Linked DNA regions of Arabidopsis thaliana. The protein of the gene in region 1 interacts with the protein of each later gene in a pairwise test. Each region holds a gene or a part of one and is shown on either strand. Other genes may lie near its edges.

Region 1 (7,775 bases):
TCCTGTGATTTGCAATAAGCAAAACACGTTTCTCAACCGGAATGATGTCTCCAGAGAACACCACAGTTGTCCCGTTAACCGTTTCAAACAGGTAAGGCCACAAAGCTAACCAGAGACCAAAGATTAACGAAACAACTTTTCTAGATTGTTGCACACTCAGAAGCCGTAGACCTAGAGCAGCTATTGGTGCAAAGTACAGCAGAAACATAAAAGCAGTAGACAGAAACACCAGCAGGATCATCAAGCCCCTCAGAATCCTAAGCGGAGTCAAGGGGCGGTTCTTTAAGTTATCAGATTTCAGATCCCCGCAAACTTCCATCTTTTTTCCAGATAAACCTCAAGACAAAACTGCAGCAATGAGATTCAAATATTACTCAGTGCCACCTTTAAGTTCCCCACAAAGATTGAGTTTTTTTCTTTTTTTGGTAAATACAAAGACTCAGTTGCAGAAAAGATACTATAAAAAACCAATGCAAGAACCTAAATATATGCAATTTGAGTATCAATACCAAACAATTAATCTAACAGTAGACATAGAGATTAGAGATTCCTAATCAACACAGCCATGAATGAAGAATATATAAAAAGCCATTTTTTCTTACATAAGTGGGAAAAAGGTTGCAAATTTGAATCTCAGGAACATGAATTAAGCTCTAAAAGCAACAATGAACAGAGAATTCCTTATCTATGAGCTCAGTGGAAGATTCAACAAGCGAATAATGAGAAAAGATTCGTCATTTAGTTAGTATCTAAAGCTGCATAATTTCGAATCTATAATCATCAATATTCCAAAACAAAAACACAGAAATCACGGAGACAAAACATCCTCAAATTGGGAAAGACTTGTGAATACCGCAACTAAAAAATCAGATCCCACGTGATATAAGATCAAAGAAGAGACAGAGCAAGAGAAACACTTCTCTCACGTATCTTCGAAAAAAGCAAAAACAATCTAAAGCACGAGGAACTCGACGAAGTACCTGGAGAAGTATGAAGAAACGGAAGAAGTTGGCGAAGACAAAAGAGGATAATTGTTAAATGGTGGAAGAACAGAGGAATGCGAATCTCAAACGAAGTTTCAGAGAAGGATACGTTTCGGGTCGGATCTAATTAAGACAGTGGGGATGATCAGAGACGGTAGGGTGCACCGTACTATAGCGATCTGATTCGCTGAGTGCGAAAAGGTCAAAAGTTGCAGGGAAGACAAAATCCACAAAGGTGACACTTGCGACCCGATAAAATTCTCCTGGCGTCGTTACACTTTTTGTGAAACTCAAACGTGAAGCAAACTCTAATTAATACTTTTCCCCACTTATTATTATTGGTTGTACCAAACAAGAATAAAATCTAGCTTTTAATGATTTATATTTTTTAATTTAATACATTGAGCTTGATATTTTTTCATAAATTTTGGATCTGAAGTATTAATATACGAGTTTCATGGGGACCAGATGTTTTTATTAATTATTTCGATGTCATTTATTTTTATTTTTACAATAGTATAAGTTTTTTTTTGGAATTTTTGACCAAATTCCCTTATTTTTACAATGGTATAAGTATATTTTCTTCTAAGATAAAGTTATATCCAAAAAAATATAACAATTCATGTATAAAATGCTGAAGAAAAAATCGTGTCTAGTTGATTTTTTCTAAGTAAAATTTTTCCTTGAAATTGTTTTCTCTAGTTGTTGTTAAGAAAGAACTGTTTGTTTAGTGAATATATTGGACTCATTATTGTAGAAGACTAAGATAAGTTCTTTCTTTATTATAATGAAACAATTTGATTATAAAATATATCATTGACCAAGAAAGTAAACTATTAAAAGTGATAGTAGACCAAATATGAGGATGTGATTGATCGGTTCAAAAGTTAATCTCCGCCACCGATTCGTCAACTTACAGTAGGGGTACATAAGCAATAAAAACAAATATGAGGTCAAAACTAAAATAAGTAGTAATATAAGGGTTAATGAATAAATAATCAGTTCACGGTGCCGGCGAACTTGATATTTTTCTCACTCTTCCCTCTTCTGCTTCAGAATTATCGGGAGAACTTCAGACATGCTATGCTCCGACCGAATCTCATCATCTATCAATTTCATGTGACTTATTAAATTGTTCTGTATTCTAAGAAGTGGTTCCGTAGAAGCGGAGCAATGCCGATTTCTATGGAACTTCCAGTTTTCTCTACTCTCCGAGTACCATTGTTCTCTCGTTTAGCTTTACTTCCTACTTTTGGAGTTCCGTTTTCGTCCCTTGGTGCTACGACGCGATTGAACTGTACATCTCGAAAGGCGCGTCGGATTTGCGTGATGTGCTTAGTGAGGGATTCTGCTCCGATAGAGACGTGCGAGAGAGCTGGAGAAGATGGGTCTGACGAGTTCATTGAGGTTCTTGTCATCGGTAGTCGCAAGGAGTCTATCATGGATTCATGCTTGGATTCTCCTTTTCCTTCTCTTCCTCTGCGATTTTGGTATATGCTCGACTTTTGTTCGGCCCATGATTCTGTTTTATCTACTAGCCACTTTGTTGTAGTCTAATTTTCGAAATCTGATAGTTTATTGTTACTGACTTTCCTAGCACACTCCTAAATTGTGTAGCTTTCTTCTAGTGACGAAGCTTATGGCTTGAATTGATTACGTACGCTCTGTGTATTCGTGAAAGGGATCAAATTTAATTGCCAAATCTACTTTTTCAGGAGTATTAGCAAGGACAGCTCTGGAGGTTTAGTGTTACAGCAGAGGCTCAATCACCAAGGTCCATAATCTATTCTTTTCCTGTTTCTTCTTGCCGTTTGAGTTTTGAATTTGATTAAAAACAGATTCTTGAACAACTAGCATATATTTAGCTAGTTGTTCAAGAAGATTAGAGGGATATGCTATCTTTCTTACTTATCGCTTCTCTCTTTCTGTTTACAGATAATGCCTTGAAGACCATGAATCCAATTGAGCTGTTACAGTCACGTCCAAGGGCCTTCATCCTTGTTTGTACTTTTCTCGCCTAACATTGTTTGTGTTCTGTTTTCTGCTACAAAAACGTTTTTGAATTTCGCAGTTCCATAGGTAGCAAAAGATACACAGTGTCTAATTGATCAGTGATTATTAACAACCATGGTTCCGAAATTCGCTTAGGCTCTTAATGAAATGCTAATGGTTTTCAATTTTTCTCGAATTTTATTTTCGTGGAATAGTATTGGCCGAGCATCTGATTCTGCTTAAACTGTTACCCTTGCCAGGTGGCTAGTGCTGGATATGGTTCTGACCAGGTTGAAGCTATTAATATTCTTAGTGCAGTAAGATCTGGGGGTAACTTAGCTGTTGCTGTGCTATTAAAGCCTTTCAGCTTTGAAGGCCGAAAGCGTCTAGAAGAGGTAGTTTTTTGTTGCTTCTAAAGTTGTAGTTGATTGCTATGTACCAAAAGAGCCAATTTGGACTTTCATTTTATCATCCCAGAGTCTTGATAATAAGATTAAAGCAGTTAGTTACGTGTTTGGACTTTTTTATTGGTGCTGTAAGTAGAACTTGTATACCTGAATTGATAGAGAAGAAAACTAGGTGGAGAACCTTCGAGTGGCTTCATGTTTTTCCAACAACACACCTTCCCAAATCTCTGTCATCTCCATTTCTTGTCAACATTTTTTAATATATACAGTATTCCATATAACAAACTGAAAACAGCCCAGTAAATGACGTCCCTATCTACAGACAAGTTCAACTTCATTTAGTATTGCTAGTTAGAGCCTTTTCTCTTTTTCTAATTTCCCAGGTTGTGTGCAGGTTAACGAGTTGGCTAGAAAACTGCAGCAACACACCAATTTCTGTATAGGTACGTCTATTAACATTGTGAAATATTTCCTGACACAATAGCGTCAGAAAAATTACCTTTTCTTCTAGTAGTTCTGCTGGCCATGAACTGACTTTAATTTGGGCGTTGTAGATATCGACATAGAGGTTTTACTACAGAAGGATTTGGTAACTTTGGACGAGGCGCTGAGAAATGCAAACAATGCTGTGTCTATGGCAATAAATGCAGCTTCCGCTCTGATAAGTGTAAGGTTACTTTTCTGCTCTAGCTGTCTCTCATATTATACTCAATTTTTTTTGTCATTTCATACATGGGTTTATCTAGGGGATGCATGGAAACTTCATCGATGTGATGCATAAAGATCTTAAAGAACTTGAAGGTTCAGAAGTTAAAACGGTAAGTTTCTTGGAATTGTTTCTTTTGGGTTTTAGTAGTAAAAATCTTCATAGTCTTACCTATTCTTGAGATTTCATTTGTCTGTATGGTATAGTCACCCTTAGTTTCAGCTTGTCTTCAATCCTTCAACTCTCTTATGTACAGATTCTAGAAAGTTACAAAGAGGCAAAGGTTGGTTTTGGAGTTGGTCACAACCTTAAGACTTCGATATTACGAGCTATATATGACTGCCCATTCTTTCGACCTGGTCTAAAGGTATTTCTAATCTGTTAAAGAGCTTTCGACAGAAGATTCATCTGCCTACTTAAGTTCTTCGTTTGATTTTTTCCTCATTCGTCTGATAATAAAGTGAATATAAAAACATTAATTCGAGGATTTGATAATTGGAAAAAATAAATCTAAACATAGTGACTTATAAAAAACCGGTAAAACAGATGGTATCACTCTCCCAAAGGAGCAAGGGTATTTGAAATTTTTGTTTGTGTGTATTTTGGCATTTTTCTCGAATGATATGCTCCTTGAAATAATTCTTACGAAATTATGTTATTCAAAGTAACCTTTTTCTTCTCAAGTCTCAACCATGCTTTTACCAACATGCAGGATCTAAACGCTATTATATGCATTGTGGCTAGTTCGGTACCTCTCCAGAAGAAAGACGTGAAAACAATTCTTCGTACTTTCCGTCAAACTATGGAGTACACTGGAGATATTATAGTATCTACTGTTCATGAGCCTGATCTGGAGCCTAAAGTGCGTGTCACAACGTTTTTTATTCTAAGGTGTGTCTTCATGTTTAGTGACAGCTAACAATTTCAAGCTCATGCATATGGTATCATATTTAGCTGAAAATCAACAAAGAAAAGTAAATATATGGTTTCAGCATTTATACCATATATTTTTATGTGTTTGATTAAGATCTATGATGCTTTTGACCAAGACTCAGATTCTATTTCTCGTGACCACTTTTAAGCATTAATGCTAGTCTCAAATGTCATCACAGTTCTTCAGAAGTGGAAACATCCAACAAAGGCAACATTTTTTCTGGTCTTGTTCCTTTTGTTTTAAATATCTTCACGAGATATCGTTCACAGCTCCAAAAAGAAACAAATATTGGACTTGGAGAGACGCCAGTTTCAATTAAAGATTCAGCAGACTCTACTGACGTAAAAACTTCCAATCAGAATATTGAGGAATTTGAAATTGACTCTGAGGACCTCCTGGAAGTTTCTGAGAACGGTGATGATAGTGAATACCCATTAAAAGAGGGGGAACCATCCAGAAACAGTCGTCTGGATCTTAAAGATGAAAATGTAGAAGGTACAAAATTGAAGACAACTTTCTGTTGCTGCTTATTTTTGTATGTTGTATTGGTCGAGATGCTTTATTACTTGTTATTTATAGGGTGCTGAAGTAGTGACGCCCTAAACTACTTTAAAAGTGATTAAGTGAATGAAAGTCATCTTTTGTAGATTTTGGTGCTATCCAGAGGGAGCCTATTGCCAATTGGAGTATGGATCAGGGATATCAGATTGAGCAGAAATGGCAAGCTGATTCTGGAGACACTGCAGTGCTTAGCCTGGGAATTGTCAACCTTCCTGTTGGTGTGAGACCTTCGAAGAAATTGAACAGTAATCTCAGTGTTGCCAGTCAACTCTCTAGGAAGGCTGATTCCAGAGAAGAATCATTTTTCAACCCTAATGGCTCGACAAAAGACTCTAGTGATACTGCATCTACCCTGCTATCTGAGAAATATGCTGATTTTACAAAGCAAAGAAATCTATCCGCTCGAGCATCGTCTATGCTGGTAAGTAGCAATGTACCAGCTTATGAGGTTGAGATATCAATCATCTTCTTACTAGTGGGCTGCTTTTTCAAACAATAATGCATATAGAGGCAAAGTTTTCTCCTTGGTTCAGTCTGCAACCATGATGAAGAGTCTTTCTGTAAAAACATCGTCCAAGTCGATGCCAACTGAGAGAAAATTTTCCATTTTTAATTCTTAGGAAGCTGAACGAGATTCATCAAAAAGATGGAGTCCTATTCTTGAGATGCAGTACAGAGGAGGACTTTTCAAGGGAAGATGCCAAGGAGGCCTTCCCGAAGGAAAGGTAATCTGTCTTGTTAGTTTTATTCATTGAAACCAATTCATCCATGGATCCTCTTCTTATGTTTGAGACAGACTTCTTAGTTAATCCGAAAGTAACAGCTGACTATTCCCACCAGGGTCGTTTGGTACTTGGAGATGGAAGCATATATGATGGAATGTGGCACAACGGTAAAAGATCTGGTCTCGGAACATTCTACTTCAAGAATGGAGACGTGTTCCAAGGCACATGGAGAGAAGATTTAATACACGGAAAGGTGAAATAGTCTTTTGACCTTTTCGAATTTTGATTAGCTTATTGAGACTACACTTTTGCACCAACTGCTTAGTTTCACCACCAAGTCCCTAAGACTTTGTCAAGCTGGTGCCATTTAAAATGCGTTTCCTACTTCCCCAATATATCGAATAGGTTTGATAAAGGACTGTACAAATATATCTCTTATTAGAAAAACAAAACTTGTTCATTTGTCTTGCAGGGTTGGTTTTATTTCCACAAAGGTGATCGATGGTTTGCAAATTTCTGGAAAGGAAAAGCCAGTGGCGAAGGCCGGTTCTATTCAAAGTCCGGTGAGATATTCTTTGGACATTTCAAAGATGGTTGGCGCCACGGACAATTCCTCTGTATAGATTTGGATGGAACAAGGTCAGTGACTCTTAAAAAAAACTTTTCCCTATCTTAATCAGAAAAGGAGCAACCCCAAGTTTATTCAAAATTGTTGACGGCTATTTCCTACAGATACTCTGAAACTTGGGACGACGGTGTTCTCATTGACCGGAAACAAGTGGACGCCGGAGATTGATATCATCCGGCAATGCTGTAACTATATAGTGCATATCGATTTTGTCTTTTCTCAGGTTATTATTATGACAAAACGTGATTCATAAAAAGTATTCCTGTGACTTAAAAACTCCTTTTCTTTGATTAGATGTTTAAAAGAAACGAATTCAATACCGAAAGCTACCTGACTTTTTCTTTCCTTGCAACCTGAGAAAAGTGACGAATCTTCAAAAGATCAAAATAAGCTATTATAATGCAAAATTATATAATATATTTTGTGTCGGAGAGCAAGACTACAATGATTCCTATTCCTAATTATCATACAACAACAACATCAACAGAATAAATCTGATCTCCAGTTTTCATATTTTAGCTGAAGTCTGATTTTTTTTTTCCGGATGATTTCAATAATACAAAAATGATTAAGGTTTATGTGGTGTTGTGATTAGCCTTGGTCATCATTGAACGCGTCTTGCAATAAAACTTCAAGTAGAGCAACGTGATAACGGCGTTAAGAACAGAGTTAAACAACCAAGCACCGATACCGTTACAACCGCCGCGTTTGACCAGGTGTATACAGAGTACGCCTACGTGGCAAACCGTCATACACCCTAACAGAATGGCTTGACAGTTTCCGACAAACGGAAAACACGCGCCACGCAACCCAATCTCCGTCCAGAACCTGTAACCGTA
Region 2 (4,014 bases), 2.1 Mb from region 1:
CTTCAAATCAATACTGCCAAAACCATAGTTCTGAGAAACCAAATTATAAATGAAAAACACATAACAGACTTCAACTTTCAAACTGTAAAGATTCCAAATTCAAAACTTTCACTAGTGAGTCCCAATACCAAAGATGTACATACCTAGTACTGAGAAAATAGGCTTTGATAGGGATTTTGCCTAGTGCTTCCTCTGCCTCTGTTCCAAATTCATAGTTTTGATATGCATCATTCGACCCAGAATCAGAGTCATTGTTGTAAATCGAAATCGGAGAAGGGAACGCTGAAAAGTGTCGGAAATTGAGAAAGCGAGAAGCTAAACCAATCGTTGGGTGTTTCGAAACACATGGAGAAGAAGAAAGGTTTAGTCTTTTTGAAGAATTGAGTAATTGATTACGAAGAAGAAGAGCAGCTACTGCTCTCCATTTACCCATTCAATGAAATCAAAATTGAAATTTTTTGTCCTCTGCACCAGAATCTCTCGACTTATTATATTAGTCAATTTGTATTTTGGAGAGATTGTCTTTTGATATCGAAAGATATTTGGTTACGAAGAAGCCTTGGTTCTCGCCGCCGGTGACCACAGTCCCCTAATCAAATGATCGTTTTACTTGTTTCAAAACGACTGTGTTTTTTGTTTAATTAACTAAAACGACAGCGGTTCGTTTAATAAACTTGTTTCAAAAAGTTTAAAACCCTCTTGTAGCATTTTCATATTAAGCCAAAACAAAAACCTAAAACCCTATCTTGGAAAAATGTTAAGTTAGAAAAGCCCTAATCTTGTAGCCTTGGTTTTTGAAGTTTAGAAGAATGACGAATGTCTAGTCCTTACCAAGTGTTATGGGATTGGAAAATTCTCTAGGGTTTCAATTTTTTTCCGAGATCAATGCGATTTATTTGTAAAAGTTGGAACAAGTTTATCAAAAAGATCATAATTATTGATAAAACACCAATAACCCCGCATATAGTCAATTTTGCAGATTTCTTATAAATTAAACTTTAAAAAATAATTTTATAATCCATCAAATTTAAATACTATTTTTTTAGAAGGTCCAATATATAGTCAAACTCTACTATATAGGGTAACGCGACTTAGTGGAATCGAACCTCGATAGAAAGACGAAATCAAATGAACTTAACCACTTGACTAAAAGCACATCTCTCAAATCTAAAAACTACTTATTCGTGGTTTATCTATAAAACTTGAAATATTTTTGTCAAAAGATCATATTTTTAATAAAACAGCAAGAATGCAAATAGTCATCTTTACGGATATTTTGTTAGATTGAAGTTTAAAGAACAAATATTACAATCCATCAAATCTGAAAACTACTTATTAGTTATTTGTGGTTGCCTACAGCTTTACCAATAATGTGATTTTTTATAAAGCTTACATTTTGCTTATAGAAAACCTTTGAATGAGTTATAGAAAACCTTTGAATGAGTTGGTACTATTGTCGTCATTCTTCTAATTTCTAAACTTCAAACACCAAAAGTTGCAAAGTAGTTTTTTTTTGTTGTTTTGGTTTAATATTAAAATAGATGATACGACATCGGTTAGGCAGTTGTTAAAACGCTGTGTTTCAAGCCTTTAAACGACAGCGTTTCTTAAAGTGCTCGATAGCCTTTTACTTTGTAAGAAGAGTCGTCGTAATCTCATTTCTCTTTTAACTGAGACGAAAAAGATTCACTTCTCCGGCGAGCAATTTCAAGTTTCTCGGTAATGGCGATGTCTTCTGGAACTCTCAGGATCTCTGCGACCTTAGTATCTCCTTATCATCATCACCACCGTAATCGCCTCTCATTACCTTCTTCTTCTTCCAAGGTCCGATTTTCTTATAATTCTTACTCTACGATTCAAATTTTCTCTTCGCTGCAATTTGGGATCTGGAGCTCGTGAAATTCGCCACCAAATTAGGAGAACTTAGATTACTAGCTTCGATCTTTCGTTTCTATGTCTGTGTGGTTTAGGAAGAATCTGAAATGCGTCTTTTATTGGAACAATTTCACAATTTCTCTCTAGCTCTAGATTTGCTTGTTCATCGCGAGCTCCTGAAAGTTTATCATTCCAGTTTCTGTGTTTTTACTTAGGCACTTGGAAATGAAGGATTTTAGTAACAAAACTTAAGTATATTTGTTTTTAGGAAAGCCAACGAATCCATCTCCATGACCATCCTCCTTTTTTGTAGTTTTGATATTTTCTTTATCTTGTAGCTCATATTAAGTCTTTATAGTATGGAAGTGGTGTCTTTGATTACTGAGAGCGAGACTGGACCGGTCTTCTGTTAGATATGTGCGGATGTTTGTGGTGCTATGACCTGATGTGTTGCAATTTTGTTACAAAACCATTTCATTAAGTTTAAGATGAGCTTTGATGTTACAGTTGCTTCTTTACCTATAGATGATCAAAGAGAGTGAATATGTTCTTAAGCTTGTAGCTCATATTAAGTCTTTTTAACAATGGTGGTGGTGCCTTGGATTACGTAGACTAGACCGGTCTTCTGTTAGATATATGCAGATGTTTGTGGTGTTTATGACCTGATGTTTTGCTACTTTGTTAGAAAACATATACGTTTAGGTCAGCTTTGATGTTATAGTTGCTTTACCTATAGATGTACGATAACAATTACTGAGTTCTCAAAATGCAACTAGTCTGAAATTACAGTCCCTTTTTGCGGGTGATGGATGTAAATTTGCAGGTTGATTTCACGGGATTCATAAGCAATGGCGTAAACAGTTTGGAAACTCAGAAATGTACTCCTGGACTGGCGATCAGCCGCGAAAACACACGAGGTCAGGTGAAGGTTCTTGCAAGGAACACCGGAGACTATGAACTATCACCAAGCCCAGCAGAGCAAGAGATAGAGAGCTTTCTCTATAATGCCATCAACATGGGTTTCTTTGACAGGTTAAACTTGGCTTGGAAGATAATATTCCCATCTCACGCATCAAGAAGAAGCTCCAACGCAAGAATTGCAAAGCAGCGGCTCAAGATGATCCTCTTCTCCGACAGGTGTGATGTTAGTGACGAAGCTAAAAGGAAAATCGTCAACAACATTATCCATGCACTGTCGGATTTCGTAGAGATAGAATCAGAGGAAAAAGTTCAGCTAAATGTTTCCACGGACGGTGACCTTGGGACCATTTACTCGGTCACGGTGCCTGTTAGAAGGGTGAAACCAGAGTACCAAGACGTGGACGAGGCTGGAACCATAACCAACGTGGAATACAAAGATACCCGTGATGGTTCTGTCGATGTCAGGTTCGATTTTTATGTTCCAGAGTGATGAAAAGGCACAGTCTTAGATTTATTTGCTGGATAGTATCTTGTCTGTTATGTTGATGTTCTTCAAGTTTAGTCTGGAGGGAACAAAGACAGTTTCTTGACACTCCCCATGTATATATATATATGCAACTTCTCTTTTCTTATAAGTTTTTTTACTGTGTTTGACACGAGCTGGTCGGCTCAACCTATTTTAGTTTCACATTCTGTGAAGTTAATCATATTCAATTGCAATACTTTAACCACAAACTATATAAGTTAAACTCAATCAAAATATGGTGCAATGGTTCCCATCACAAAAATAGAAATGGACTATTGAATCTCTTACCTGTTCGACTAAAATAAATATTTTCAAACAAGAACTGTTATAGAACAAGATTTTTTACCTACAGATACAGAACGCAACCGATCCGAAATGGACATGCCTAAAATTAAATTATAACTTTAACTAAATCCCAAAACACAAACCGAAAACGAACCAAAAATCCGGATTTATCATCTACGACTACAAACATTCAAAGTAGTATGTACAATAGATATTGGGCCATAAGCCCATTAACCCGTTTGTGAATTTTGAAAGAGCTCAGGTATTGGGGAAAGCTCTAGTCTACAAATTTGAAATTCGGAATTCGAAATTGGGGAAAGTCTTCTTCATCTGTCTAGAGAGTGGCGTTTGATTTGAGATAACGTTCTTCTCCAAAATTGCTTGAGGAAGTGGTTTTGTTGTGTCTC
Region 3 (5,506 bases), on another chromosome or scaffold:
AATCGCAAAACATGAGATTATAATTATGCGACATGTCAAATTGTTATGAAAACATTTTATATAATAAGAAATTTATTTGGTATAGTATCATATGAAACAAAGAGTCAATACAATATCAATGTCATTATATGTGCTCATTATGTTAAGTTGAGTCAAGGCACTTTACTAAGAACACTTCAATAATTATATTTAACTATTTCTGTGTATTCATACGTATGATACAAGGTTTGGTGTTCTATATACTTTATCCTCATCCCTTGAATTTTAGTTGGGCCAAAATAATGACATTAAAATTATAATATGTTGCTATATAAAAAATTGTTACAATTTGGATGCAACATAGAGAGATCATTAGCGAGACATTGGGTGGATCGTGCAATTCATTTCTGTTTTGTCAACTAGCAATTCAAATTATGGCGACATTATATACATTAATCCATATTACACAAAAACTAATAAACTATATATGTCTTGGATTCAAATAGAAGAAATAAAAGTCAACGAGTTTGCCCTATAAATGATTCTATGCTTTCAAATAGTTAGCTACAAGCTCATCAATCTCTGCTCTATTAAAAAAAGAAGAAGAAGCAAACACAAAACAACAACAAAGAAATATGGCAAAGCTCATAGTTAACTTCTCTGCTCTCTTGATGATCATCTTGTTGGTTTCTAATGGTAATTTTAAGATTTTCTTAACTTCCTTTGTCCTATATTAATATCGATATGGATGTGAAAAGATTAATGTGAGAATGGTTAAAACAGGACTCCCAAAGGCGGTAGCCCAAACATGCTTTAAAGGTGAAGCTCAAGAGGGTGTGTGTGTTAAAGTTGACGGCTCAAAATTGTGTGACCTTCTTTGCAGGGCAACCAACACAACTTGGTTTGGGGCATGTGAAGTGGAAGACAACGAGACGCACTGTCACTGCTACGGACCTTGTTAAGTATCTCATCCGGACGCAAAACCAAATATGAAACGTGAATAATTGTGTATCAGTACCTAAATAATGTGTGCATTGCTTATGATCAATGTCACATATCTACATGTGTGTTCCATGTTTGTGTGTTTTTATTTTATCGCTTTCAATAAATTTGCATCAGCACCGTAAATGTAGCTGATGCGATAAATGAATGTAAGATTAAATCTGTTTATTATGTTTGCTTTTGGTGTTCCATTATCTCTCCTATATATATGTCCTCTTCTTTTTCTTCATTCTTGTCATTAATCTATATGTATGTGCTATTTTTTGTTGAACAAAGGCTAATGAGTCTTATCTATAACACCAAATCAACTCCTAATAGTAATAGAACTCTTAACCTAAACTCAAAAGAAGTAAAGTACAAGGAAAACTCTAATCAAAAGTTCAAAACCATATTCCTAAACCATGAAACATAAAGGAATATCACAACCTCGAAACTCTTTTGCCGTAACGACTAGAGTTGCTTTTTGTTTTTAGTTAATTCAAATGATGACATTATTGTTCCAACTATGTAATGTAGCCACCACATTTTTCTTGTAATTTTTTTTGTTTCCTTCATAAAATTCATTTAGCAAATTTACACAAAAAATTCAATGAAAGTACATGAAATGAAATTTAAAGTACAATCATTTCCCATAGTTTTTTTTCTTACCAACACCAACATAACAGTGATAAATTGGAACAAAATTTTACCAAAATAAAAATAAAAATTTTATGAACAAAAGCATTTTTTATATATTTTTTAATTATTGGGGGTTTAATGAATTTGAGATATTTACTAGTCAGAAAACACCAAAACCCTCCGTTTCGTGGGTTTCCTCCAGACCTTGAGCTCCTTGTTCAATTCACACTTTTTCTCTCCCAACTCTTCTTCCAGGTTTCCTCTGCTACTCTCAGGTTTCTCTTCTCCACTTCCCTCCAGCTTTATCCTTTTGATTTCGTCCTCCATCTTACTGTATTTACCCAAAAATCTAAGCTTTTCTCAGTGTTCTTCCATTTCTCTACTTTGTTTTCATGTAATGCTGCAAACTTCGCAATACCCATCTTCAATTTCTTCAATTCGTAATGGGAAAAAGCATTTTAGTTTAATTTGGGTTTTGTGGTTCCTCACTTGTTTCATTCTTCTAAGTCTTAAACCATCCACTGATTCTCAATTTCTGAGGATTTGATATCTATTGCTGGTTAACAATGGAGCATAGATGCGACTGGGTTTTGTTTATGTTAACTTTATGAATGTAAATCACACTGCTTTGTGGCTACTTTGTGGATTTCGTGTTTTACTTTGTGGCTGAATCATATAACTCTAAATTGAGAGCTTTGGGTTTGACCATTTAGCTTTTTATGAACAGGTCTTGTTAGGGAAGTAATCAGTGGAATTGGATTTAGTCTTTTGGTTCTGAATTTTGTAAAGTCCTGCAGTGATTGGTCTCATTATGGCAACTTACGTTTCACCGTGTTTTACTCCTTCGGATTCTCGGTTACTAACTGTTCTTAGAAAGAATGTTTTACCGGAGAATCATTTAGGCAGGTTGAACTCCATTAGAACGATTGACAGTAAGAAAAACCGAGTTGTTGTTGCCGCTCAGAAATCTGAATCTTCTCCAATCAGAAACTCTCCACGGCATTACCAAAGCCAAGCTCAAGATCCTTTCTTGAACCTTCACCCGGAAATATCTATGCTTAGAGGTGAAGGGACTAGTACAATAGTCAATCCAAGAAAGGAAACGTCTTCTGGACCTGTTGTCGAGGATTTTGAAGAGCCATCTGCTCCGAGTAACTACAATGAGGCGAGGATTAAGGTTATTGGTGTGGGAGGTGGTGGATCAAATGCTGTGAATCGTATGATAGAGAGTGAAATGTCAGGTGTGGAGTTCTGGATTGTCAACACTGATATCCAGGCTATGAGAATGTCTCCTGTTTTGCCTGATAATAGGTTACAAATTGGTAAGGAGTTGACTAGGGGTTTAGGTGCTGGAGGAAATCCAGAAATCGGTATGAATGCTGCTAGAGAGAGCAAAGAAGTTATTGAAGAAGCTCTTTATGGCTCAGATATGGTCTTTGTCACAGTATGTCCTCAAATCTTTATTATTACTATTGCATTTGTTCTTCTTAGTTATAAACTTTGATTGTAGAAAAAGAGGTATGTGTCATTTGTCAATCACTTATCAGCTAGTTCTGGTCTCCATCTGTCCAAAAGAGTGAGGTTTATATGTCTCTTCATCATTTTATAGGCTGGAATGGGCGGTGGAACTGGCACTGGTGCAGCCCCTGTAATTGCAGGAATTGCCAAGGCGATGGGTATATTGACAGTTGGTATTGCCACTACGCCTTTCTCGTTTGAGGGTCGAAGAAGAACTGTTCAGGCTCAAGAAGGGCTTGCATCTCTCAGAGACAATGTTGACACTCTCATCGTCATTCCAAATGACAAGTTGCTTACAGCTGTCTCTCAGTCTACTCCGGTAACAGAAGCATTTAATCTAGCTGATGATATACTCCGTCAGGGGGTTCGTGGGATATCTGATATCATTACGGTATAGCTTTTCTTATGGGCATCCTGTGATCATTTTTTTGTGTATGGCAAATGATTTACCAGCTACGTTTGTCCTTGATTTGTAGATTCCTGGTTTGGTGAATGTGGATTTTGCTGATGTGAGAGCTATAATGGCAAATGCGGGGTCTTCATTGATGGGAATAGGAACTGCGACAGGTAAGTTTGGAATGATGGATAAGCTCATTTAGCTGCATAGTTTCATAAGCAGAACCATTAGTCACTAGATATGTGTCGAAATAGTCTAATTGAACTAATGAGCTAGTAGATTGGTGTGGCAAAGAAACCAGTCTAGTGACTGGGATACTGAAAATGACCATATTATATTCACTGTTACTCAACTATTGTGCATCTATGTCATGATGTAATAATCAAAGTCATGAACCTTGAACTTCTTTTGCGCAAGGTTTTGTTTTGTTTGCAACGTGCTGATTCTTTCATGCTACTTGTAATCATTCAGGAAAGAGTCGGGCAAGAGATGCTGCGCTAAATGCAATCCAATCTCCTTTGTTAGATATTGGGATTGAGAGAGCCACTGGAATTGTTTGGAACATTACTGGCGGAAGTGACTTGACATTGTTTGAGGTTTTTGTCTCTCTCTCTCATCTTTGTTTCTTATCTCTATGTCGATAGATCCATAAACAATAACTGGATCTTGAGAGACGCATTGACAGGGTGTTAAAATCATTTATTTTCTTCCTTCCATAGACAACTTAGAGCAAAGCCTGATTTTGCTTCATACCCCTAAGATGCTCTATAGTTTTTCATACACTTTGGTCTTGTGTAGGTAAATGCTGCTGCAGAAGTAATATATGATCTTGTCGATCCAACTGCCAATCTTATATTCGGTGCTGTTGTAGATCCAGCCCTCAGCGGTCAAGTATGTCCTTTATAATGTTTCTTCTACTAAACATAGATAAGACCTCTAGAGATGATAGAATTGATGTTTTTTTTGGTAAAAGGTAAGCATAACCCTGATAGCTACGGGTTTCAAACGACAAGAAGAGGGAGAAGGACGAACAGTTCAGATGGTACAAGCAGATGCTGCGTCAGTTGGAGCTACAAGAAGACCCTCTTCTTCCTTTAGAGAAAGCGGTTCAGTGGAGATCCCAGAGTTCTTGAAGAAGAAAGGCAGCTCTCGTTATCCCCGAGTCTAAAGCCCAATCTAATCACTACCCTGCACACTGCAGCAATAACAAACGTGTGTGTACTGGTAGTCTGGTACTGCCTTCTGGGATACAGCAAGATGTGTTGATGTATGATCAAGAATCTGTGTGGGTGTGTATATGTTCTGTCACTGCCTCTGGTCGTGTTCTTGAATAGGTTGTTTTAGAAATCGGAGTTTCTCTCTATGTCACTTCCAAAACAAAAAAGGAGAAGAAGAATCACACTTCTCGAACCATAAACATACTTATAAGATTATGAGAGTTTTAGCAGAAATTATTGTCATTTTTCATTCAGTTAATAAAAAAATCAATAGCGATATACCAGCAAACAACTGTGACTTTCGAATAAAAAAAGTTCATCTCCGACGCATGATTCTGTGGCAATGTGCAGCAACCAAACAAAGAACCAACTTGGTTTCCATTTCATATGTTCAAAATAAAATTTGTTGATACATAGATATAGCTTGGGTCTAGTTTACACAGATCAAACACAGGTTACAACATCCGGACTTGTTTCCTTGAGAATTTTCCAGTGCAGGACAAGCCATCCATCAATCTATTATATGTAAAGATATCAGGCAACATATCTTTATCCAACATCTCGTTCACTAGAACTTCTCCTTCCTTTCTTCTCCCTTCTTTCGTGAACCCCGAAACCAAAACATGGTACGTTGTCTCATCGGGTTCATATCCTTTGCTTGATGCCAAAAGTCTCAATCTGTTTGCATCAGTAGAATGATCAGAACTGCAGAGATCCCGAAGAAGCAAGTTAAATGTCACACTATCGGGAAGAATTCCTGCATTCATCATCTTCT
Region 4 (7,029 bases), on another chromosome or scaffold:
TGATCTAAAATTGCTTCCATTATTAGTTTTTGCAAGTCTTTCACAAGGAGGTGCCTGTGGGACCAATATCTACTGAAAGTGCAGTTGCTCATATCGACTTTTAACAAAGCGTTAAGTAATTTGACAAGTTGTAACCTCCAAAACTTAGACCACTTTACAAGTACCAATATATTAGAAGAAGAAACGAAATGACTAGGTCTAATCAGAAAAAAAAAGCTTTGATGAGTAGAGATAAACTTGACCATTTCAATTAGTTAAATTCAAGGAGTGAAGCTTTAGGTACCAATTTCAATTGCCTAATACATACTCAGGTCAAATTTACAGAGAGTAAAAATTATTATGAAGTAAACTTACGGAGGAGTTCTGAAAACAACACCGAAGACCTTGTTCTCATCCTCATTTGACACAGACATCACCTCGCAACCAGTTTTCTTGTGTTTGAAGAGTATCGCCTTTGATTTACACTCTGAGATGAATTCTTCCGACACTTTTTCAAATCCAAGCTTCTCAGCCTCATCTTGACCTACATCTGAATCCAAACAACCAAAAATAAGGAAAATCACGCATCAGCAGAGGTTACACATGGCTCCATTTGATTACAAAGTAGACACAAAGCATGAGATGAAAAATGCACCACACGGACCACACCTATCTACAATTCACAACCTATCCTAAAGTAAGAACCACAATTTCACAAGTGCCACAAATCAACATGTCCGAATTAAGAGAACAAATCAATTAGCAATTAAACTTCAAACAGATTGAAAAAAAGAAGTATATGTGAAAAATTCCAACCAGGATAAAGTGGAGCGGGTTGTGTGGCGACGGCGCGAACAGAGAGGCGAGAGAACTGCCCATTGACACTGCGAACTGCGGCGGAGGGAATCCTCAAACCTCGTCGGAGCAAAAGACGTCTACCGGCGACTGAGGGAGAGGAAATTCGGCGAAGATTGCGACTGGGGACACGGAGAGCTGCCGTCGACGATGTGAGAGACATGTAAGAGCGAGGGAACTGACGAAAGAAGCGAAAGAATAGAGAGGACGAGCTGCGCGAAGCTAAACAAGAGACGGTTCGGAGCATAGCTACCGGAAAAAAAATATTCCCGGCGGAGACTGCTACTGACGGAGACGAAATTAAGGATATTGCAAAGAAGCTAAATAAACCCAACGGCAAGAGGTTTTATCCTTGTGTAGTTGTGTGTTTTTGCTTGTAGAGGAAAAAAGTAAAATAAAATAAAATGAAATACCTCATTTCTTGTACAACACACAAAATTATTGTGAAAAATATTCTCTATTTTACTAAATTGGCATTTTATTTTTCTGAATTTTTAAGTCGGGACAAAAAAGAGGTGCTGATTTGCAAGAAAGGAAACGTGGTTCTCATATAGCCAAATGTGTTTGAGTGTTGCAATTTGCTATCCTCCAAAAATATAATGACTACAAAATATCTTAAATCTTTTTTCATGATATTAAACTTAAGTGAAAGTATTACAAAATCTGATCAAGTTAAAAGTTTACACCAGACATATACTTTCCAGGTATTTGATTCAGAAAAAATCATATTGATCAGATTTAAACAAATTTTAAATTATATATAAGTTTTTTCTTACACACAAATTAAACCTTTGATCAGTACTAGACTACTGGTAGCATGCGATGAGCTTGCAGTAGTTTCTCTCGCACATTAGTTATGGGCCGAGAGCTAGGCCCATGTCCAGGGACGGATAAAATAATCTTCCAGATGTTTCTTTATTATCCACGTGGCGTGATCACGTGACCACGTCTCGTCTCGTCTAGTCCTAGATTAGCAGAGCCTCTCTTTCGGCCAGCGGGTTACCTTATTATCGTCACAAGACGAAACTTTCAGAAAAAGGCAAAAATCACTGTCAAAACTCAAAAGCCTTGAGACCAAATTTCCGATTTTTTCTCCTCTGAAGAAATCCAACAAATTGTACCATGATTCCAGCTTCACTCTACTTCTTCTAGGGTTCGTTCGTTTTCTGGAGCTGTTGCGCAATGCCAGTAGCTTACACATTTCCAGTTCTCCCTTCTTCTTGTCTGCTTTGCGGAATCTCCAATCGCAGCACCAGCTTCGTCGTAGATCGCCCGGAGCTTCAGATCTCAGGTCTCCTCGTCGTTCGTTCTGAATCCGGTGAATTCTTCGGTTCTGGTTTATCTTTGCGGCGGTTTCAGCGAGAAGGACGGAGGAGGTTGAATGCTGCTGGTGGTGGTATCCATGTCGTCGACAATGCGCCGTCTCGTACTTCTTCTCTCGCTGCATCTACCTCTACAATCGAACTCCCGGTTACGTGTTACCAGGTATTTTGCTCCGACTGACTTACTTTTCGGAATCTCTGTAGATACTACTATCTCTCGCGATTTGCTACTTAGCTCCTCGTTGAAGTGCAAGTGGAACTTGTTTTTATCCTTCTAAATTTTGTTGAAATAGAAACATTTTCCTCCAATTTGTAGTCTCTAGCGCGTAGAACGAGATGGATGTATTGATTTGGCAATTTAATATTGTATCATAGTTCATTTCTGCAATAGAGTGTAAAGAATGTAGCGTTTCGTTTGTTAGACATTATTCCAGGATACTGTTAATTGTATTGATTTTGCAGCTTATCGGAGTTTCTGAGCAAGCTGAGAAAGACGAGGTCGTTAAGTCGGTTATAAATTTGAAAAAAACTGATGCTGAAGAGGGTTATACAATGGAAGCTGCTGCAGCTCGCCAGGTTAAGACCTATAGTATCACTAGAGTTGGACAGGGAATGTGGCTTCAGTTTCTTGATACTTTGTTCTTAATGTGTAGGATCTTCTCATGGATGTTAGGGATAAACTTCTTTTTGAATCAGAATATGCTGGTAACCTAAAAGAAAAGATTGCTCCTAAATCTCCTCTCAGAATTCCGTGGGCATGGTTGCCTGGTGCTCTATGCCTTCTTCAAGAGGTACTACTTCTGACCTTTTATTGCGTTTTATCCCTGCAAATGTTTTGTACTGATCTTTCTGCTACTATGCTTCAGGTTGGACAAGAAAAACTTGTGCTGGATATTGGCCGGGCTGCTCTCAGGAACCTTGATTCAAAGCCATATATTCATGATATATTCTTATCTATGGCACTTGCTGAGGTAAAATCAAATGAACTAAGAATGGGAACTAGTTATCTACTTTCACTATCCTCTGCTTCTTCTATCTCTAATATGTTTGTTTTCCATTTAGTGTGCAATTGCCAAGGCTGCTTTCGAGGTTAACAAGGTCTCTCAAGGATTTGAAGCTCTTGCTCGTGCTCAAAGTTTTCTGAAGAGTAAAGTTACTCTTGGGAAACTTGCATTGTTAACTCAGGTAACAGGTTCTACTGTCTTGCATTAGTATATATAAAGCTTCTCTGAGTTTACTTTTAGCCCTGTTACTGGCTTGAATTATTAAAAGTGCATGATCATGCCTTACTGTAAATCGCATCATGTTTAGGAGCTTCACATATAAGTACGTATTGTCCAAAAGCATAATTTACCAGCATATTGGGTTTTAAGGGGTTAAAATTGATATTTATAGATTGAGGAGTCACTAGAGGAGCTTGCACCACCTTGCACATTGGATCTACTGGGCCTGCCACGCACGCCAGAAAATGCAGAGAGGAGGCGAGGTGCAATTGCCGCGCTACGCGAACTGCTCAGACAGGGCCTTAGTGTTGAAGCTTCATGTCAAATTCAAGACTGGCCATGCTTTTTGAGCCAGGCAATTAGCAGGTTATTGGCCACAGAGATTGTCGATCTTCTTCCATGGGATGATTTAGCCATTACACGGAAAAATAAAAAATCACTGGAATCCCACAATCAAAGAGTTGTTATTGATTTTAATTGTTTCTACATGGTGTTACTTGGTCACATCGCTGTTGGATTTTCAGGCAAGCAAAATGAAACGGTATATCTCGTTTTCTTTCCTTTTGTTAAATTTAGACTGATTGGTCCATTTCTTCTCTACTCTATCTGCTTATAAAGCATAACATTCAGTATGCTTGTGTAGATTAATAAAGCAAAAACGATATGCGAATGTCTCATAGCATCAGAAGGTGTTGATCTGAAATTTGAGGAAGCTTTTTGCTCATTTCTTCTAAAACAGGTATTTTTCCTCTTGCTTTCTTTATTCTTTTTCCCTATCAACTATGCTTGTGCATCTTATTTACTTCAAGTTCACTTGCTTCGAAAGATCCTTGCGTTGTTCATTTAGTTAAGTGCTACTGGACCTACATGTTGGATAGCACAGGGTTCCGAGGCAGAGGCCCTGGAAAAACTTAAGCAGCTGGAATCAAATTCAGACTCTGCCGTTCGTAATTCGATCTTGGGGAAAGAGTCGAGAAGTACTTCTGCTACTCCCTCACTGGTAAACCTTATGATTTTTACCAAGAATATGTGTTCATTTGTTGCTACGACTAGAGCGAGGGCTATGCCTGATGTAAATGGCATGATCAACTCTAGTGGAGTATGAATAAGTTTGAGCTATGTTTCAGGCTGTAATTGAAACAATGGAAATAGATACATTTAGTGGATGGTAGTTAAATTCATAGAATATGCTTTAACAGCATTGTGTATGCCTGCCGTTAACATTTTCTTTTTCGATTGGTTGTACATACACATAAATCTTAATATTTGTTTGAGTAAGCCCTTGGGTTCATGCACTAAATTTAATTTGGAAATTTTGCAAGTATGTACATCTCTTCGCTAGCTCTGATTTTTTTTCATAGAAAGATTGATAGCGACCTTCATACATGCTACCTATAAAATTGACCAGGAAGCGTGGCTAATGGAGTCCGTGCTTGCTAACTTTCCAGACACAAGGGGTTGTTCTCCATCTTTGGTAAGAATCAGATCACTACTGGAAGATTCTGTATAGCAGTTCTATTTTTATGCAGAAAGATAATCATATATACAACTTTCTGCAGGCCAATTTTTTCCGGGCTGAAAAGAAATATCCAGAAAACAAGAAAATGGGGTCACCTTCGATCATGAATCATAAGACGAACCAAAGACCACTTTCCACAACACAGTTCGTGAACTCGTCACAACATCTTTATACAGCTGTCGAGCAGTTGACACCAACAGATTTGCAGAGCCCAGTGGTATCAGCCAAGAATAATGATGAAACCAGTGCCAGTATGCCATCTGTTCAACTGAAGAGGAACCTTGGTGTACACAAAAATAAAATATGGGATGAGTGGCTCTCTCAAAGCAGTTTGATCGGAAGGGTATCTGTTGTTGCTTTACTGGGTTGCACCGTGTTCTTCTCTCTGAAGCTATCAGGCATTAGGTCTGGTAGACTACAGAGTATGCCTATATCGGTTTCTGCTAGGCCGCATTCAGAATCAGATTCTTTTCTGTGGAAAACAGAGTCTGGGAATTTCAGAAAAAACCTTGATTCTGTGAATAGAAATGGTATCGTGGGAAACATCAAAGTGCTCATTGACATGTTAAAGATGCATTGTGGCGAACATCCGGATGCCCTGTATCTGAAAAGCTCTGGTCAATCAGCTACATCATTGTCTCATTCTGCGTCAGAACTGCATAAGAGACCAATGGATACAGAAGAAGCGGAAGAGCTTGTGAGACAGTGGGAAAATGTTAAGGCTGAAGCTCTTGGACCAACACATCAAGTTTATAGCCTTTCCGAAGTCCTTGATGAATCCATGCTTGTCCAGGTTACTGTTTCTATACATCTCCTATTATTCCTTTACTTAATTATGTTAGTTTACTACAGTTGAACATCAATGTTTAGGTAGAGTCAATATTTCTTTGTTTAATGCAGTGGCAAACATTGGCACAAACAGCAGAGGCGAAATCCTGTTATTGGAGGTTCGTTCTGCTTCATCTTGAGGTTTTGCAAGCACATATATTCGAAGATGGTATTGCTGGTGAGGCTGCAGAAATCGAAGCTCTTCTGGAGGAAGCAGCAGAATTAGTTGATGAATCTCAGCCCAAAAACGCAAAATATTATAGGTAAAAAAAAACATTTCGCTTTCGGGTTACTTTTGGACTGAGCTGGTATCTTCTTCACTGATGCAGCCTTTGTAAATTTCTTGTAGCACTTACAAGATCCGATATATTCTGAAGAAGCAAGAAGATGGATTGTGGAAATTCTGCCAAAGCGATATTCAAATACAGAAGTGAAAATCCCCCAGAAAAAAAAGCTCATCATCTAACTAAAGGTTGTAGCATCAACAGTAGAACATGGGATCATTTAGCTAACGGTTGTTCTTGTTTACCTAACGGTGTAGGAAAGTCTCAGGTTTGTTTCTTTATTCCTTAGTAACCCACAGGATTTGTCTTTGTAGATTCTTTTGATTTCAATGTGTTTATGGATAAACAAACTTCTTGAGTATTTTTTTTATTATTATTGTAAAGCGTTACTGATCAAATCAAATGTTTTCTTAAAATAGTTAAAAATATTAAGGGATCTCAAAATAATTGTTAATTATGGAGGGAAAAAAAAGAAACGTCTTTTAAGAAGCCCATACCTGCTTCACGTATCACGATGGAGGCTTACTCAGACCTTCCACTGTTGAGAATTTGAAATTTCAATTTGTTTGATTAGACACAATGATTAAGATTTTTATTACATAAAAAGAAAAAAAAAATTGGAGAAGTATAAACACATACATAGCGGTGAAAGAAGAAACCCAACGGTCACTCAAAAGCGCATTGAAGAGTCAAGCAAGACTTGGATCTGTCTCTTTCGTTTCTCTATCTCTGTTTCGGATTCCTAAGAGAAATGGTGGAATCGGAGCTAAGCTATGAACAGATTCGTTTGAATAGGGTGGAAGAGAACAAGAAGAGAATGGGGGAGCTTAATCTCAACAAGCTTGCTCAATCTCTTCGTGTCTCTTCTTCTTCTTCTTCTTCTTCCAAGCCCTCACCAGTAACGTTTCCTTTCTCTTCTCTTCTCATTTCTTCTTTTCTTTTTCTGAAATTAACCAATTTTTTTTATGGAAATGTAGGCAAAGCCAAGAACGATGCGTATTCCAGTGGATTTCTCGGAG

Evidence for each region.
Region 2: the proteins of ARC3 (region 1) and MINE1 interact in binary tests that used the Arabidopsis thaliana proteins (3 or more experiments, as listed by UniProt).
Region 3: the proteins of ARC3 (region 1) and FTSZ2-1 interact in a two-hybrid assay, tested with the Arabidopsis thaliana proteins (one study listed by BioGRID).
Region 4: the proteins of ARC3 (region 1) and PARC6 interact in binary tests that used the Arabidopsis thaliana proteins (3 or more experiments, as listed by UniProt).

What each region holds. Positions count from the first base shown.
Region 1 is NC_003070.9:28,164,323-28,172,097, reverse strand, and holds ARC3 (GTP binding protein), read left to right. Parts: upstream 1-1,984; 5' UTR 1,985-2,156; coding exon 2,157-2,473; intron 2,474-2,698; coding exon 2,699-2,757; intron 2,758-2,918; coding exon 2,919-2,983; intron 2,984-3,235; coding exon 3,236-3,370; intron 3,371-3,776; coding exon 3,777-3,825; intron 3,826-3,936; coding exon 3,937-4,049; intron 4,050-4,128; coding exon 4,129-4,200; intron 4,201-4,344; coding exon 4,345-4,455; intron 4,456-4,800; coding exon 4,801-4,979; intron 4,980-5,200; coding exon 5,201-5,517; intron 5,518-5,669; coding exon 5,670-6,004; intron 6,005-6,203; coding exon 6,204-6,308; intron 6,309-6,423; coding exon 6,424-6,561; intron 6,562-6,780; coding exon 6,781-6,947; intron 6,948-7,040; coding exon 7,041-7,104; 3' UTR 7,105-7,270; downstream 7,271-7,775. Other genes in the region: LPAT4 (lysophosphatidyl acyltransferase 4), read right to left, coding at 1-319; AT1G75000 (GNS1/SUR4 membrane protein family), read right to left, coding at 7,512-7,775. UniProt on the Arabidopsis thaliana protein: Together with MIND1 and MCD1, regulates FtsZ ring positioning in chloroplasts in an ARC6-dependent manner. Z-ring accessory protein involved in the initiation of plastid division and division site placement (might functionally replace bacterial MinC).
Region 2 is NC_003070.9:26,082,999-26,087,012, forward strand, and holds MINE1 (homologue of bacterial MinE 1), read left to right. Parts: upstream 1-1,563; 5' UTR 1,564-1,722; coding exon 1,723-1,824; intron 1,825-2,698; coding exon 2,699-3,286; 3' UTR 3,287-3,514; downstream 3,515-4,014. Other genes in the region: RRG (sporulation protein (DUF155)), read right to left, coding at 1-13, 144-433. UniProt on the Arabidopsis thaliana protein: Acts as a topological specificity factor during plastid division and specify plastid constriction sites (such as the Z-ring) in a MCD1-dependent manner. Especially involved in epidermal plastids division in a FTSZ1-dependent manner.
Region 3 is NC_003071.7:15,196,837-15,202,342, reverse strand, and holds FTSZ2-1 (Tubulin/FtsZ family protein), read left to right. Parts: upstream 1-1,739; 5' UTR 1,740-1,874; exon of another isoform or gene 1,875-2,326; 5' UTR 2,327-2,410; coding exon 2,411-3,043; intron 3,044-3,208; coding exon 3,209-3,508; intron 3,509-3,593; coding exon 3,594-3,684; intron 3,685-3,985; coding exon 3,986-4,110; intron 4,111-4,312; coding exon 4,313-4,405; intron 4,406-4,487; coding exon 4,488-4,682; 3' UTR 4,683-4,974; downstream 4,975-5,506. Other genes in the region: AT2G36255 (Defensin-like (DEFL) family protein), read left to right, coding at 615-675, 763-941; AT2G36240 (pentatricopeptide (PPR) repeat-containing protein), read right to left, coding at 5,187-5,506. UniProt on the Arabidopsis thaliana protein: Exhibits GTPase activity which converts GTP ligands to GDP.
Region 4 is NC_003074.8:6,630,794-6,637,822, forward strand, and holds PARC6 (plastid division protein), read left to right. Parts: upstream 1-1,843; 5' UTR 1,844-2,016; coding exon 2,017-2,319; intron 2,320-2,618; coding exon 2,619-2,732; intron 2,733-2,809; coding exon 2,810-2,947; intron 2,948-3,022; coding exon 3,023-3,127; intron 3,128-3,218; coding exon 3,219-3,341; intron 3,342-3,551; coding exon 3,552-3,920; intron 3,921-4,022; coding exon 4,023-4,118; intron 4,119-4,262; coding exon 4,263-4,379; intron 4,380-4,787; coding exon 4,788-4,853; intron 4,854-4,938; coding exon 4,939-5,691; coding exon of another isoform or gene 5,692-5,754; exon of another isoform or gene 5,755-5,798; coding exon 5,799-5,989; intron 5,990-6,075; coding exon 6,076-6,160; 3' UTR 6,161-6,499; downstream 6,500-7,029. Other genes in the region: PREP1 (presequence protease 1), read right to left, coding at 355-529, 796-1,081; AT3G19184 (AP2/B3-like transcriptional factor family protein), read left to right, coding at 6,762-6,908, 6,988-7,029. UniProt on the Arabidopsis thaliana protein: Component of the plastid division machinery required for PDV1 localization to constriction sites. Involved in chloroplast division site placement. Required for the proper formation of FtsZ rings at the division site in nongreen plastids (e.g. etioplasts).